Lepisosteus oculatus: one gene and its partners. The protein of the gene in region 1 purifies or fractionates together with the protein of each later gene. This does not show direct contact. Links are inferred from orthologs where the notes say so. Each region holds a gene or a part of one and is shown on either strand. Other genes may lie near its edges. The genes, in order: ptpn5, mitogen-activated protein kinase 14A and mapk1.

The links.
Region 2: the proteins of ptpn5 (region 1) and mitogen-activated protein kinase 14A purify together in Homo sapiens (affinity purification with mass spectrometry; 3 studies listed by BioGRID and IntAct, with this or other methods). This does not show direct contact. The link is inferred for Lepisosteus oculatus from reciprocal best matches to the Homo sapiens genes PTPN5 and MAPK14.
Region 3: the proteins of ptpn5 (region 1) and mapk1 purify together in Homo sapiens (affinity purification with mass spectrometry; 4 studies listed by BioGRID and IntAct, with this or other methods). This does not show direct contact. The link is inferred for Lepisosteus oculatus from reciprocal best matches to the Homo sapiens genes PTPN5 and MAPK1.

What each region holds. Positions count from the first base shown.
Region 1 is NC_090716.1:13,384,040-13,389,487, forward strand, and holds the start of ptpn5 (tyrosine-protein phosphatase non-receptor type 5), read left to right. Parts: upstream 1-2,064; 5' UTR 2,065-2,376; coding exon 2,377-2,422; intron 2,423-3,351; coding exon 3,352-3,557; intron 3,558-4,257; exon of another isoform or gene 4,258-4,334; intron 4,335-5,448. UniProt on the Homo sapiens protein: May regulate the activity of several effector molecules involved in synaptic plasticity and neuronal cell survival, including MAPKs, Src family kinases and NMDA receptors.
Region 2 is NC_090700.1:36,016,888-36,022,335, forward strand, and holds the start of mitogen-activated protein kinase 14A, read right to left. Parts: upstream 3,435-5,448; 5' UTR 2,852-3,434; coding exon 2,733-2,851; intron 1-2,732. UniProt on the Homo sapiens protein: Serine/threonine kinase which acts as an essential component of the MAP kinase signal transduction pathway.
Region 3 is NC_090717.1:1,962,218-1,967,665, reverse strand, and holds the start of mapk1 (mitogen-activated protein kinase 1), read left to right. Parts: upstream 1-1,895; 5' UTR 1,896-2,198; coding exon 2,199-2,344; intron 2,345-3,475; exon of another isoform or gene 3,476-3,762; coding exon of another isoform or gene 3,763-3,785; intron 3,786-5,448. UniProt on the Homo sapiens protein: Serine/threonine kinase which acts as an essential component of the MAP kinase signal transduction pathway. MAPK1/ERK2 and MAPK3/ERK1 are the 2 MAPKs which play an important role in the MAPK/ERK cascade.

The DNA of each region.
Region 1 (5,448 bases):
TGATGTTCAAATCAAGAAAATTAGAAAAGCTTATTACTTTAATCACCCTTTGTGCCAAACTGTTACATATCCTGTTTTTCTGGGTTCAGGTTGCCATCACAGTAGGATACCTGTATAACATTAATTTGTTTTACTGGTGATAATGGAACCACCACAGACATAAATCCATCCAACTGTACATGTACATTTTATGATTGTGATGTTGTGAGGGAGGCACAAATGTATTGCAAAAGCCCACAGAATGAGGCCAAGCTGGTCTACTGGAGTTAGCACACAGAGGGAGCAAGATTCCACATGAAGGAAAGGAGCTGAAGGGATAGGGGCTACATGGAATTAGTCATGCCTCTGGGCTAATGTAGAGCCTATAAGAACCGCCAGGAAGGAAAGGCATTCAGTCTGTCTAGGTTTCATCTTGGAAGGAGGGATTGCGAATGATTGTGTATGCTGGAGAACAAATGGTTTAGGCTGTACTAAAGGGTGGCACAGGTTCTGGACATACTGTATGGGCTGTGTGATTGTTTGCAGGTCAGCCAGCTGCTCTTACCCAATCATACAGTAAGCCAGGGTATCTGTAATTTACTGTGAAGACCTGGATGACATGAGTTAACTGGGTTGAATACTCTGACATGGGCAATAAATGCACATAAGAATGGGAAGAGCATAAGAAATACGCCACTATACTACCATGATGCTGGGGGTGCTGACTAGCAGAGGCTGGACAGGTCATAGTGGGAACCTGAGACCACAGACTAGGATGGGGAAACATGGGAGAACCACACAAGTATACTCACATAACATGCCATTCCCCCGAGCCCTGGGAGTTAACAATGCCCCTGGTGATTCCCCACTATCCCAGACAAGTACGCATTTATCCCAGCATGCTCTCCTGGGGCTGACATCACCAGCCCCGTTGCTTGTCTGCTTGGTGCCACATCACTGCCTGATGAGGGCGCTACAGTACTAGTCTAGTGCCTAGTGCATTTTAATTATGTTAATTTAGTGAATTTTAAACCTAGTGCGTTTTAATTCAGTTAATCTAGTGAATATGTTGTCTGGTATGTATTTTGTTTAAATCAGGTTAGTCATTTGAGACTAATCTGATCTAAAAAACAAGGTAGGTAGTGCGTTTACTGGAGCAATCAGAATGAAATATGTTCAAACAGAATCCCACTCAGCCCATTATGTACAGGTCCGAAGTCCCAAAACCTGTTCTGAAGTACTCAATGAAGTTTGGTCCTCTTTTTTTCGCTCAGCACTCACAGATGATTTATGGCCTTAAATATATCAAAATCCTAATATTGCTAGTATCCCCTTCAGCTGACTGGGTTGTGCACAATCACTGAATTTTCACTAGTGCCTCAGACTTCAAACAGCAGTTCACACCAGACTCATGCATCGTTTGACAAGAGGAGCAGGAGAAGCAGCCTTTTACTGGCTGGCTGTAAAAACAGAAGTGTATCTGGGTCTACATAAGCATGCTGATGCCTATTTGACCTTTTGTCATCTTTATCCAATGAAATTGAGTTTTATTATATTCCTACACTATGTGGGTGTAGTGAAGTGTCTATATGGAAAAGGAAGTTCGCTTAACACTACAGAAACCAGGATAAGCTCTCTCAATGAGTTGATGTGGTTCTGGTCTGGACTTTACTTTTTTAAACATGAGTTTTAATCATAATTATGTTTTTTATCCTGAACTTACTTCAAAAACAAATTACCTATGTGCTTTAACCATCAATGATGGTCAATGATTTCCTACTGTTTTGTTTTTTTTAACCTTTGACACCAACCTATAAAATATTAAGAATGACAGTATCATGATAAAAAGAGATGCATTGAGCACTGAGAATGGCTTTCAGAGACAGGCGAGTAATGAGAATCCACCCACACTAGGCTCGGAGTGGTGAGAAGGTGGGCAGACATTAGCTCACTGGGAGACGTCTGACACTGGTGCCATGAACTGCAGCTCCAACAGGAAGCCCGTTGACACCACAGAGGGGAGGAGGCAAGTTTCAAGAAGAGAAATGTAAACCGAGTGACACCTGTCCTAGACCTGTCCTGGTGGCACAGTGAAACTTACTGCATGTTGAAGCATTCACAAAAGAAGTTTACAGTTTGAGGAAAGAAACTCTTCTCCTGTACTTTGCCAGCCTTTGTATACACTTTCATTCATCCTTTTTCTAATGGCTTCATCGGGGTTGTAGAGGAGCCGGAGTCTAACCAGGCAAGCAATGGACGCAAGGCAGGGTACACCACTCCATCACAGGGCAAACAGAAACGCAGACATCAACACAAACATGCAAACCGGGGCCGGTTTCCTAGAAGTGCCATCATGTGGACTGTGGGAGGAAACTAGAACACCCGGAGGAAACTCCCATGAACACAGGGAGAACCTGCTCACTCCATGCAGATAGCAACCCAGGTCAGGAAAACATCCTGAAGTTTATGAACGTAAGTTCATGAACACAAGGACAAAAAGATGGATTTTTATCACAGATGAATTTTAACACAGCTTTTCAGCAATGTCAAGTACACTCAAGCTTCATTTTATGAATGTAATTTGTTCCTTGGAAAGTGTTCATAATGTGAAAATTCATACGTTGAAAATAAAAGTATCATTACTTTAAATATGAAATATTCCCATTTCTAAACCTATTTATAGGTTTTGAAAATCACCCAGCACCCCTTGTGTTTACCCTAACACAGTCCTGAATCTGTCAAATTAAGAACACTGTTGCTTGGTTAAGATATTAACCTTATTTACCGCGATTCCGTGATGAAGATAAAATGTGTAAAAACTCTTAAGAATACAGACACATTGACCTACAGTACAGTATGTTATGGAAGGACATGCTATGAGGATGGCATCTTCCATTTGACTATGCACCTCTGTTGTAGCACAAATCTCTTCATAACTATGAAAAGCAGGTATGAAAATGCATGTTTTATTAGAGAGAAAAATCTGTTGACACCCCATTGACGGACAGGGTCGATTTAAATTCCAAAATTGCCATTTGGGGCATTTTTTAAATAAACCCATGTTTTTCTTAGGCTACACTTGAATCCTAAAATAAACAAAAAAAATAAAAAAAGTCTTCCACATTCATTTTTTTTCCTTCAGACATGGGCACTTCTGTAGCGTCTATTTTTCGATTAATGGGCAATAGGTAAGGAATGTCTTGACAGTCAGCACTGATCGAGATTCTGAAAGAGTTAGTGGGATCAACAGGCAAACACATGTACTCCACTATACCACTGTATACTCTGTACTATACAGCACACTGTGCTGGAGGGACTCTATGTCTCAGACTGTGCATCCAGAGAGATGATCTCTCCTGTTTTTGCCTCCAGGTCTTCGGTTGTCAGGGATCATGACCCAGAACTCAATGACAGGCCCACCTGCCCAAGCTGACGCACAACAGGAGGAGCGGGGTAGAGTGGCTCAGCCCCCCCACAGCTCCCCACAGGACCCCCAGGGCCCGTGGTGGGAGAAGCTATGGAGGGCCGTGGTGACCGCTGGCTGCACCGTCTGCGTTTGTGTCTTCTCCCAAATAGCGGTAGGATCTGAACATGGCGCTCTAAGTTCTACTTGGCACAAAGCTTCATTTTGTTCTGCACGAGCGGGAAAGCAATCACAATCACACCCAAAAACTCCACTGCAGCACAGATATAAACCAGACTTTAGAAGTTCAGGTGGGGAGCTGCGTCAGCATGCTTAGGCTGCAAAGGAGCAAGTAATAGGTTTATTCCGTGCTGACAAGAGAAGAAAGAAAACACAACTTTTCAGCTGTGGAGCCTTCTTCGGGTGTGTCTAAAGCAGCCTTTATTCGCACCTTGCTCCATAAACGGAATAAGTCTAGCCAAATCCTTCTCTCCAGCCACCCCCTCAGTGGCCTAGTGTCACACTTCCCTATGTAAATTCAGCTTGTGGAAATCCCCTCAATCCATGCAGAAACAACTATATACACTAGTGAGAATTTTAATGCTTGAGGCCATTTGACTAAAGTCCCTTAGTCTTTGCAGTCCTTTCATGGGGTACAATTCCACACATATTTATTCAGTTGTTCCCCATTTTTCCTTTAATGGGGTTGTAAAAAAAGCTCAGGAGGAGGTCAAAGTCTAGTCTCATCACATCTGCCCGTCTATGTATAATCACCATGCTTCTCGCATGTTCACTCACATGTTTCATTTTCGCATTAGCCATTTGCTCTCGTCAGTCAGGCCTTACCATGCTGCTCTCTTCCTCCTGTTTGAAAGAATCCAAACTGCAGTGCTTCAGGCTCCAGCTGGAGAACCAAATCCAAAAGCAGTGTTTTCTCCCAGATGTCCTAGGGGTGAGTCCCACCATGCCGATATCCATCCATCCCTGCCCAACGGCGGCAGTCCCCTCACAACTTTCCCAACAGCCATCAGTGTTGAGTGTCTTCTCCAAGTTCATCTTTTTCCATGCAAGCCTAGCCAGTCTGACCTGTTCAATGAGTCAACGGACTCAAACCTTCTTCCCCAACTCGCTGAATGCCTTCTTCCATGCAGATCTCTGCCTTATCACGCACCTTTTCCCCACAGTTCACAGGAGTCAGTCCGACCACTGATGGCACATTTTCCCCATTTTTCCATTATGCCCTTTGCTCACGTCAGAATTAGCTCTCTTACTATACAAACCACATGCATTGTGGTTGAATGCACCTCACCATCTCAACTTCATAAACACCACCATTCTCTGCTTCATAAATTCCCTGCTGCTGCCATTAGTAGGGCTATTACCTTTAATCCACCTTTCCTCTGTGCTACACAATCATTGAAATCTCTTTACCTGATCAAAGCAATAGAACAAAACACATAACACATGTTAGCCATCATCACTAATGCCTTTGTATTTATGCCTATCAGTCCTAAACAACAAGCACTTCATGGGGTGTGTTGGCAAGACAGGTATGATTTCACAGCCCAACTCAATTTCAAGTGCTGCACCAGCTCAGTCCTCTGTTGGCTCATCCCTCATTTAGCTAGAGCTCTTTCTGTCTAGAATTTTTAAGATGTCTGAGTTCCCTTCAGCACATTCTTTACCACAGAAATTATTCTCCTCCTCTGGAGCTCTAGGGTGTTCAGATCTTAACCTTTCTCACATCCTTGCCACAAGCCATGTCTGTGCTAACATGATTCTCCTCGCTTTCTTTGGCTTTTATTCAATGCAAGCACTTTTATACCTACTCAGTCACTGAAACAAAGCTGCTTGCATCTCTGTCACTTATCTTCTTGACCTTGACTCTTCTGTAAAACCTCAGCAGCACTGTGTTAACCCAGACTTCTACTGATGGTGAACTGAAGACTGAGATCCTGTCTCTGAAGCGATGGCATGCATCACTTTTCTTTAATGACTGCTTTCTGCGACTTGGATCTCCATCACGCCCCTGGCGCCACACTGCCCACATTTCAAGTCTTACAGTA
Region 2 (5,448 bases), on another chromosome or scaffold:
GCACCAGCTGGGGTTCTCCGCTGCGTTGCTTCCACACACAGTGCCTGGCACGGGCTAGAAAACTCCCACGGTTCCACACAATATAGCCCTCGCATCCATCAGCACTGAAGCACGAGCTTCCTTGCTAGGAAAACCTGCAGCAGCTCAAACTACTATGCAACAGGAGCCTTACCAGTTTCTGTGCAGATATTGGCCATGTCCCTTCTTCAGCATTGCTTAAAACAGGGCAGAGTTCAAGCGACAGAAGATACACTTTTAGTCACTAGCTGAGATAAGGTCTTCACTGCAGCAGTTTAGGACTGCGTCCACTTTGACAGAGCCCAGGATCGGAACAAGGCTCTCTGCTGACGCAAGACAGCCTTTGAGAAAACGGAGACGAATGGAAGCGAAGACCACCAACAGGAATGCTGCTGGTTTTATTCTGCTACAGAAAAGGGACAGCTAAGTCATGTGAACAGCAGAAAGGACACAAGTGAGAAATAGGCCAGTCGGGTCCTCTGGCCCATATGGTGGTGCTTGGCTAACTGCACTAAGAATCTCATCCAGCAGTTTCTTGAAAGAAGCCAGAGTATCGGCTTCACCCACGTGGCTGGGTAGCTTGTTCCACACCGCCACATTCCCACAAGCTTCACAAACATAAATCCTGCTCGGTCTCCTCAGGCTGCCACACAGCTGCTAACACTACCACGAGGAATGCGTGCACTCCTATTCTCTCACTTGCGTCAAGGCACACTTTGCATGTCATTGCAGCGGGACCCACAGCACACCGTCCTCTCAGTGAAGGCTGGGAACAGCAGGAGAGAGAAAGAATTCGAGGTGCCCCTTCTCACACACAAGCAAGGAGGTATGCGCGCCTCAGCTGGCAGATCCCTTTCCCGGGGAAACCAAAGATAAAACGATGCTTTCCATCACTCCACGGCAAACTAACTGGCGCGACATCTGCAATTCATTTCGGAAAGGAGACGAGGTCTTGCGCTGTACGTGACGCGCCGAGCAGTCAGCCGGATGGTTCCAACTAATCCTCCAGCCGGTGACTCATACCAGCAGGCAATTCCGAGGCGACTTCATTATGCAGTCTTACCTCAACCGACGACTGCTGCATACAATACGATCAGGCTACAGAAAATAAAAGCACATGGAGGCTCAGGAGAGGAAACACTGAAGAATGGAGAGGGACAAACGCTTGAAAATTCCTCAGGCATCTGTCAGGCTCTGAACTGTACGCGCACGCCGAGTCATAATATACAAGTCAAAGGCTATGTCGAGGTTTTGGTCATGTGTACACGGTCAATATGTCTTATGCAATGGCCGAGGTAAACCTCACAGTATAATTCAAAACATGGGCGGTGCGGTTGAGGAATTCGCGAACTTGACGTTTCATTCCCGGAGAGCGACGTTAACCCAGACTTAGGAAATGAGTTTCGACGCAGTAAAAAAAAAAAGAAGTTGATCGTGTTCCTTTGCCAAGAAAGATGATGAAACCGTCATGTCTACTTGAAAGTATTAGAAAAGGCACTGAACAGAACCAACGATGCGCAGTGTCACGATGTTTTTTTATAACAACACTGCCTTGAAGCCCCCTCTACATTATAAACCGATTACTCCTAATATGTTGCGTAAAAACATGAAACTACATTTGTGCACTTCAGTGAGAGGCGCATCCTGTTCTTGACAGAATCGCAATGCTAATACTGCTATCTGTAAACAACAGTCATTCTCAAGTGAATGAGAAGAAACCCCGTCGCGTTACTTTTCCAGCTGAGCTGATGCTTTCCGTTACCCAGCCCTGGGAAAGATATGAAAATATCTGGCAACAGAAAGCGGCCTGTCGCTGGGGGTCATGTGCGAGTCACATTTCAGCCCCCAACACGACACAGCTTATCACTCCCGGGTGGTTGGTTTTGTTTGTCCATGATAAAGCGTCTCTTCGGGTCAGTAGACGGGTGCAAATCGTTCTGTACTGAAAGATTAACTAGGGACTGCAACTGCAACAATAAATGACGGGGCTTCAACAAAAAGTCTCCAGAAAGCAATCGTGCTCAACTCAACGTTCTGCAATTGCACCACGACATACAAAGGGCTACTTCTGTCCTGCGCAACAAAATAAAAATAAAAACGATCCGACACAGATACAATCTAGTCAAAAGAAAATACTCCAGACAAGCCCCATTCAACCACTAGGGAGTTACAATTGAGAAACCCTATGCAAAACACTTAAGATTTGGCAGAACTGCAAAAGGCGCGTCAGTGCTTCCCGGAAACTGCATTTTTTTAAACAAAAAGTTTAACGAAACTGGGGATTTGAAGGAGAGCACAGGAAATTCACAACGGGTTATGAGAAAACTCTGACCAGGCGCAGGTTAAAATAAAAAGTGAGACGTGCGATTCACGGATCTCGTGTAAATAACACACGCCATTCAAAGGGATGGGGAGCAACACAGTTGCACACCGAGCCCCCAGAAACAACGGGCTGCGAAAAAAAAAAGTGCAGAAATCTTTCACTGGGTCAGGGTCCTGAACCTATTTTGCGTAACTCGCGAAACCACGATCTCTCCATGCAGAGAAGGGCCTGCCTGCCTGCCTGTGATTCGTTGCTTTGATTGAGCAAGAATGTACCATCAGGCCTGCAATAAGCGATGCCAAACATAACGCAATGAGTTGTGCAAATACACTACGCTTGAAACACATTAAAACGCAATAATAACACGAAGTGATAAAAGTAAGTAATTTACCACACTGATCCGTAAGCCCCAGAGCCGACTGGGCTAAGACTTTGGTACCGTTCCGGGACCTCCCATATCGTCTTGTTCAGCTCCTGTCGGTAGAAAGTGGGTCTTTCTTTCTGCGACATTCCTGCAGAACAGCCAGTCCCGCTGCACCACGCAGTCAATCAAGTTAACTTCTCCTTCCCCCACTTAAATCAAAAGATGTAAGTTGAAGTAAAAATCTAAAAAAAAAAACAACGTCAACCCAGGAATTAAAGGAGCGCACCGGGTTGAGCTCGAATATAAAGGACAAGCAAACAAAACTCTGGTTGCAAATGCAAATTTGAGCCCGCTGCAATGTTGAAACGATTTGCCCTCTACACTTTCTCTTTTTTTTTTCCCCCTTCAGTCCTCAAGTTTGAGTGGAGTAAAGACCCGTCCGCCGTGGGCTTTCTCTCAGTCTCCTCCTGCAGTGGCGCGCTCCCGTCACTACCCACAGCTCGGCCCAGACACGCAAGTCTCGCGTCTCGCGCGAGGAGGCCGAGCCGGCGTAGGGGTGCTCAAGATGAGGGCTTCACGCTTTGAAACAAACAAAAAAAAAAGCGAAAAACGTACTTAATCCCGGAATTTCCCCGCTACACAGAAAAAAAACAACGATGCTGATGTAGTTATTCGCTTTTGTTTTCGGTGCTTGTTTTAAGCTTCCAATTCTTTTTTAGGTACAGCCAAGTTTCCGACACGAATACCTTCCAGAAAGATCGAGTTGCCAGCCTCTCTCTGCTCGACTACATTTTCTGCGAGGTCAAAGCATGTAGTTTTGTCCTATTGTCATTACTATAGGAAAACAGAACGCGAGTACAAAAACTAAAATACCTTCAGATTTCCCCGTGCTTGTGGAAAATTAATCCATACGAATTTACTTTTGACTCATCGTATTGCACAGCATTGATTTAAAGTAGTGGAGAAACCGAAGCCGGGAGTCCACATTTGCTTGTTTTCCAGATCTATAAAAAGTGTGTTCCAGAACGATTACTAAGAAAGGAAAATTGCAGTGTTACCCCCTTTGTTTTCCGTTAGTCTGTCTAGAGCAGAATTATTCTTAACATTTTTAGGAAAACACGGAGAACGATTTAAATTACATGTTTACAGCCACCGGGGATTGAAGCTGGGGCTCATTCCCTGACGTCAGTTTTAAACTGTGAAGGGGGTTGCAAGTTCAAAAAGGCTCAAGAAACACCAAAGCTCGCAGTTAAGCTTGAGTTGGATGGAGGACAGACTGCAACACTTCATGTGTCTTTTCAGTGGGCTGCTAAAATACTCACTTGAGATCTTGGTTCACTCTTTCCCAGCAGCCATATCACCCTGCAAGCCCCAACTGGTAAACCAGTGACGGTATGCAGGTGTGAGCATGGTCAGTACCTGGATGGGGGATCTCCTGGGAAAACTAAGGTTGCTGCTGGAACTGGTGCTAATGGGACCAGTAGGGGGCGCCCACCCTGTGGTCTCAGTGGGTCCTAATGCCCCAGTATAGTGATTGGGACACTACTGTAATATAGGTGCTGTCCTTCACCGTCCTATATGAGACATAAAACCAGGGTCTCGTCTCTTTGTGGTAAGTAAAAATCCCAGGGTGTTTCTTGAAAAGAGTAGGGGTGTTACCCCAGTGTCCTGGCCAAAGTCCCCCCTCGCCTTTACCAATCATGGACTCCTAATAATACCCATCTATGAATTGCTTTCTTGCTGATAGCTGATGTGTGGTGAGTGTACTGGTGCACTTTGACTGCCGTTGCATCATCCAGGTGGGGCTACACATTGGTGGTGGTGAAGGGGAGTCCCCATTACATCGAAGAGCTTTAAATTGAGTTTGCAGAAGAGTGCTATATAAGTGTAAGGAATTATTATTCCTTCTTCATCGGTGTCATCCTGCTGGCCATGAATGTAATTTAACTGTCAGTTGTATTTAATTTTAATTCCAAAGTTTCCATTTGTAACTACAATCAATGTTAAACATTTTGAACAGTGTAAATACCCATGGAAAGGGTGTGAACTAATAAGCACTGGCCCATAATAAAATAGTAATAATAATACAGTAATGATTCCAGTTAATATTGGGAGGAGGTCGAAAATTCCTTTCTCATTCTTCAGACTTCACAGATGTTTCCTATGGGATGATCGTTACACGCACAGCCCGTGGGATAAGATCGTGTTAATTTATTTGTTCAAAAAAACATTCCTCCCGACGCACAAAGGATGTGTGCGTCCCACAACGGAAAGGAAGGAAATGGACAACCTGGGAAATTAAAAAAGACGACGACTTCGGTTCACCTGAAGACTTCAGTGAAGCCGTTCGGGGCGCAACTTCGCCCAGCTTTGTGAGAGACAGAAGCACGCCCGCCAGTTACAGATTCACCGGAGGTCCGGGGGACATTCCGAACATGCCTTGAAATGTACTGATGGAAGAAAAAAATGATGTTTTGGCTTCGTATTTTGAGCGTGTTATTAAATATTACTCAGGGGTGGTTCGGCACAGCGAAATTGCAAGTCTGCCGCAATTTGAAAGCTTTTTTCTGTTTGCTCATTTTACTTTAGTTCACTACGTTTCTCCACATTTTTATCATGCTTGATCAAATCTCTCTGTTTTAACTTGTTTTCTTCAGTATGAGCTCACAGTGTTTTCTTCCTTTCACTTTTTTCCCATACGCGTATTTCCTAAGGAATCTTATAAATGACACGAAAAGGTTAA
Region 3 (5,448 bases), on another chromosome or scaffold:
TAAATAACGTTACACGAGTGGAAGAAAGTTACGGTAATAATTATCCATAATTGGTCATCTTGATTGTTTAGCTCAGGTCTTCTGGTGAAACGACTTCGGTTCAAGAGGTCGTTTTGCGTCTTTCACACACGTAACCTTTTGACGGGGTCATTGAGATGTTATTACGAAGTTAAACCACAAGGTGGCAGTAAATGAGACAGCAGTAATCGCCTACTCCGAATATCCGTGAGTATCCGCGCATCCTCATCAGTTTTAAGAAACTCCACTTAAAGCACTTTACAGGTAACTCCACCACCAGTGTGCAGCCCCACCCGGATGATGCGACAGCAGCCAGAGTGCACCAGTACACTCCCCACACACAGGAGCTAAATTGGGAGGAGAGCAGAGTGATGGAGCCAGTTCAGAGATGGGGATTATTAAGAGGCCATGATGGGTAAAGGCCAGGGGGAAATTTGGCCAGGACACAAGGGTAACACCCCTACTCTTTTCGAGAAACACCCTGGGATATTTAATGACCACAGAGAGTTGGGACCTGGGTTTTATGTCTCATCTTAAGGACGGTGGCTTTTTTCAGTAGATTGTCCCCGTCACTGTACTGGGGCATTAGGACACACACAGACCGCAGGGTGAGCGCCCCCTACTGCTCCCACTAACACCTCTTCCAGCCTCAGCTTTCCCAGGAGTCTCCCCTCTATAAGAAAAGACAAATCAAACGGCTTCAAGGAGCCACTTTTCAAAGTGAACTTCTTTGGCACAAATGCGCTTATAGTTTCACTGCCACGGCGCAAGTAATAGTTAAATTATATACTTTAGTAACGCTTTTCATTTTAAATAACGAGGTAAATCCCAGGCATGATAAAACACGAAACATACTAAATTCTCTACTGGTTTCCTTCTCTAAGTTAGATTCTTACTAGCAACCAACTGCTACAGGGCTGAACTGGCCATTCCAGACAAAACCGAGAACGACAGAGGAAACGCTCCCCGATTTTTTTTATGCCTTCTGATGTCTTTTTTGCAGATCTCTCCGTCCGACAGGCGGGTGGCGGCGGTGTGTAGGAACCAGCTCGTGTTTACAGGCTCCGAAAGGGCCGTGTAATCATTTTCTCTGAGTCACGTTTCCTGCGACTTCGGGCAAAGCAGATCCTCTTGTGTCACTCTGGGGGGATGACGAACTGGGGGAAATCTCTGCAGTGGGCTCTGTTGCATTTCCATCGGTGCCAAACGACAGGATTTTCTTGGCCTTTTTTTTTAGATATCATTGACCGCTCCCGCAGGTCTTGCGGTTGATCTCACTGTGTATCATCGGCGGCTTGACTCCGCCCTGCCCAGATCTGACAGATTAAAAAGTGGCGTTATCAGATTGAATCACATCTTCTTTTTTTTTTACGCTGTATTATCGTTTCTCACTGGCGAAAACCATCACCCGCTGTACGCGTAAAGATAACTACAAAATGCAGTGTTCGTGCAGTCCATCTCCAAATGAAAACAATTCTAACAGAAATCATTAATTCGGATATACGAACGGAATTCTCATATGCAATATGATTTCAGGGAAACAGAAAATAAAAGCGATACAAAAACATAGTTGTCAAAGAGACTCCGGGACAGTTTAAATGCACTTTTGTACAGCAACTCTGCTCTTCCATGAATTAAATCTTGAACTCTGGATTGGGCCATCAATTAGAATCGGCTCCTGTCCAGTTGCAAAAAAAAAACAATAATTGATTCAGCTCCTGGTTGCTCCAGAGCCGAGCAGTCCCTTGCTGTCTGTCCGAGAAGACCAGAGACCCCCAGCCGGCGTGACAGGCTCCCCCGTCCCCGCGGCGCAAGCGCACCCCCCTCACGTGACCGAGTCCTCGCTCTCGCCCCTGCGCTCCCCGGTCACATGACCAGCCCGTTATTTCCTGCAGTGGAGCTGCCTGCCTGCCGCAGTCTGCGGGCGAGTCTACAAGGTTGCTAGACTGTAGCAAAGTAATCCACGGCTCGTCTCCCCCTCCCTCTCACCATCCTGACAGGCGATCAACAGGCCGTACGGTTTCTTCGGCTCCTGGGACTGAAAGCTCGTTTGTTCAGGTTTTTTTTTTCCGGCCCCTTCCCCTTCCTCGTAGCTAGGACTTTTTCTTCCCAGATTTTCTGTTTTTTTTCCTCTTCTCCCACCCATCCTTCTGCGTGTGTGTGTGGGCAGCTAGTTAACAATGGCGACAGCCGCGGTATCTGGTGCTGCAGGCGGCGCCCCCAACACCGGATCGGGAGCCGAGCTGGTCCGTGGACAGGCCTTCGATGTGGGTCCCCGCTACAGCAACCTGTCCTATATCGGCGAGGGGGCCTACGGCATGGTGTGGTAAGTTGTGTTCGGGGGCCGGGGGGGCTGGACGCCACGGCCGCGGTGTCTTGAGTCTCTCGGCGCTGGGTGCTGTGTGCACGGCCGGGCGAGAGAGGCTCCAGACCTGCCGGCGGAGGAGAGGGGGGAAACTCAGTTCGTGCTACACATGCATGCAAAGTTTTTTTTTTTACGGTTTTTCTCCGTCCGCGCTGTCGGGGAAGCTCGCTCGGTGTCGGGACTCGCCGCCGTCGTACTTGTTGATGGAGCCGTGAGGCTGACGGACCCCGAGAGTGAGAGAGAGAGAGGTCTGCGAGAGCCGGATTGGGAATGTTGGGTTTTTTTTTGTTCCGATGTGTCATTGATTTTCACTTTTCAATGCAGAGAAGGGCAACACCCTTTGCCGTAAGGGGTGTAGCTAGCGGATTACAACTCGGAGCCGCCTGTGCTTGGAGCCGGCTCGAACTCTCGGGTGCTATATCATTGCTGCTTGTGTCCGCCGTGTTGTTTATTAAACAACAACATCTTTATTAAACAACAAATGCTGAAATGTTACTTGACGACGTCGCGTTTCCCGGTAAACGCGCATTATTGATATCCGTTAGCGGCTTGAAGCCCAATACCTATGGAAAGCACACCCCAAGTTTTGACAGCCGGGCAGTGGGCGATCCAGTCGGGGGGGGGGGGGGGGGGGTAGTTTTATCCAGATGTGCGCCGTTTCTGGGAACGAGCATCTCCCCGTGTCCCGCCTTATCAATCAGTGTGTTCAGTTGATAGCGCATAAATCGCTGCCTCTTTCCCCCTTGGAGGAGGGCGAGGCTCGTCGTTTGCTGCGTCGCTGTGGGGTATAGGGTGTCACACTTGGCGGCATCCCCTCGTTGGGGCATCTAAGAGTTGAATCCCACCCCCCCTCGGAGAGATCGCTTGTTGCATTTTCCGAGTTGCAGGTAAGGCGATCTCCAGCGCGAGCGGCAATTCATGGGAATGGGAAGGTGCTGATTGGCGGCCCGGCGTCACGAGCTGCGGGGAGCTCTCGCGCGGAGCGCGGCGGAATGTCCGCCCGTGTCCGCGGGGCGTGTGCGTGTGCGCGCCGGTGCCCCCGGCTGCCCACCCGAACCCAGAGGGGTCTCGGCGCAGCTCGGCTTCCTGTGCCGGAGTCGAGACGGCCGCCGGGGTCACAGCGATGCCGGTTCCGGGCGAATTTTGTTTTTGTTTTTATTTTTTACAAAAACTGTTCACCCTAGTGATTTGGAAGAAGGGGCTGGGTTTATCGAGAACGCCTTTGAAACAAGTCCCTTTTCCCGGAGTGAGTGCAGATCGCCACAAGCGATATCACTCTGTACCACGCAGTTAAGCCACGCCTAGCGATATTTATAGGAAGAGGGACGGGCCTACCTAGTTCAGCAGACAGGAGCGCGATTTATACCCCCACAAACTGAATGAATCAAAGCAGACCCGTCAGGTAATAATGTTTTGGTCCTTCGCAGCTGTGTTGCAATCGGTTCCTAGTGAATAGAAGGGTAGGAGAATGTGTCAGCGGTTTTGCTTTGTGAAAGGGGAAGGGTGCGGTTTGTGGAGTTCGTGCATCGTGCCACAGGTGTGGCGTTGTGTGAGAATGCTCTGGCCTCTTCATTAGTCCGGCCGTCACAGGTGTTCCCGAAGTTCAGATTCCTTTTCCTGATGCAGTGCGTATGCATATTCTGTGCAGCACAGTAGAGTCCCCAATAAGATGCAAGAGCCTCAAAATTTTAAAATTAAAAAAAATTCGGGACTTAGATGACCAGTTCTGCCTTGAAATGAGATTTTCACTTTTTGTCCTTTCAGGTGCGTAATATCAATTTTATCTTCGCTCCTTAACTCTTCTGAGTGATGCGTTAGAAACCGCTGGTGTGCAGGGTGCTGCTCAGTGGTTAAAGAAACCAGGATTTATCAGATGTAGAGACAGGAAATTAAGCAATGATCCTATTATACACAGCCTTGTTTGAACCTTTCTGTCGTCCAGTGGGTTTTATTTACCAGCTGCCTGCTGTACATCTAAGTTGCTGAGAGCGTCCATCTTTGGTGGCATTTATGAGGAGGCTCAGCGTTAAAAGCAAATGAGATATCGACTGCCTGAACTGATACCTCCCTCCTTTTGATGAAGATAATTGCATCTTAGGACGTAAAGAGACTCCAGAGGTTTTGTCTGCCTTCTGTGTGCAAATGCCCATGACCTGTGCGGTCTCGCAGCCTGCTTTGCCAGATCTCTTTTCGTTAGACCTTACTTTGCATCCAAGCGGAAGAAAATGAGAGATCCAACTAGCTAAGAGAGCACTGGCAGGCGCAGTGCATGTGTTATCTGAGCAGGAAGCTGAGGGTGTTGATAGAATGCATGCTTCACTGCAACAAAAACAAAGGGATATACAGTGTGGGGGGTTGTCAAATGAGTAATCTTGAAGTGATGGAGGTTCTGTGAAATGTGCTCGCAGGAAGTACGCAGGTCCTTCATTGCTGTGGATGCTGGGGAACGTTTCTCGTTGATGCTCTGCAGAGATGCAATCTGGGAGCATCTTGGATAGGAGTATGAAAATCGCGAAATGATTGATCTGAAGCGTGGAGGCGCCACACGGCGATTCTATGTTCTTGGTGAGGCCTTGCAGGGGCCCTGTAGTCGGTGAGGAGACTGTAAAACAAACGAGCGAAGGGAAAGACAAGGGGCAGCCAGTTGCCAGTCAGGCGCAGAAGGGGTCCGTCCTTCTGCCTGGGCTGTAGAGGCCGGTCTCGCCCAACAGTCGCGCGGGCCTTCGTCGGCCAGCCGGCGCCTGGAGAGACCGCGCAGAGGTCCTCCGAGGCGAGCCCCTGCCCCCTGGGGCGACAACCGGTGGGGAAAACCTGCCGTTTCTCTTCACCTGCCACCTCCCCCATTTCCCTGATAGTCCGGCGGCCTGCTGGGGAAAGGGTGGTCACTTTTTCTAAAATAAAATAAAACCGGATCATCCCTTAAGCAGGTTTATAACATCGAGCACATTCTTTTACAGTGTTGTGTTTTAGGGATGCGGGCATATGGTTTTTAACTATCTAGATTTCTTTACCAGAGAGAGAGGGGAAAAAAAACGTGCCCATTATGCAGAGTTCTTAAATGCTAA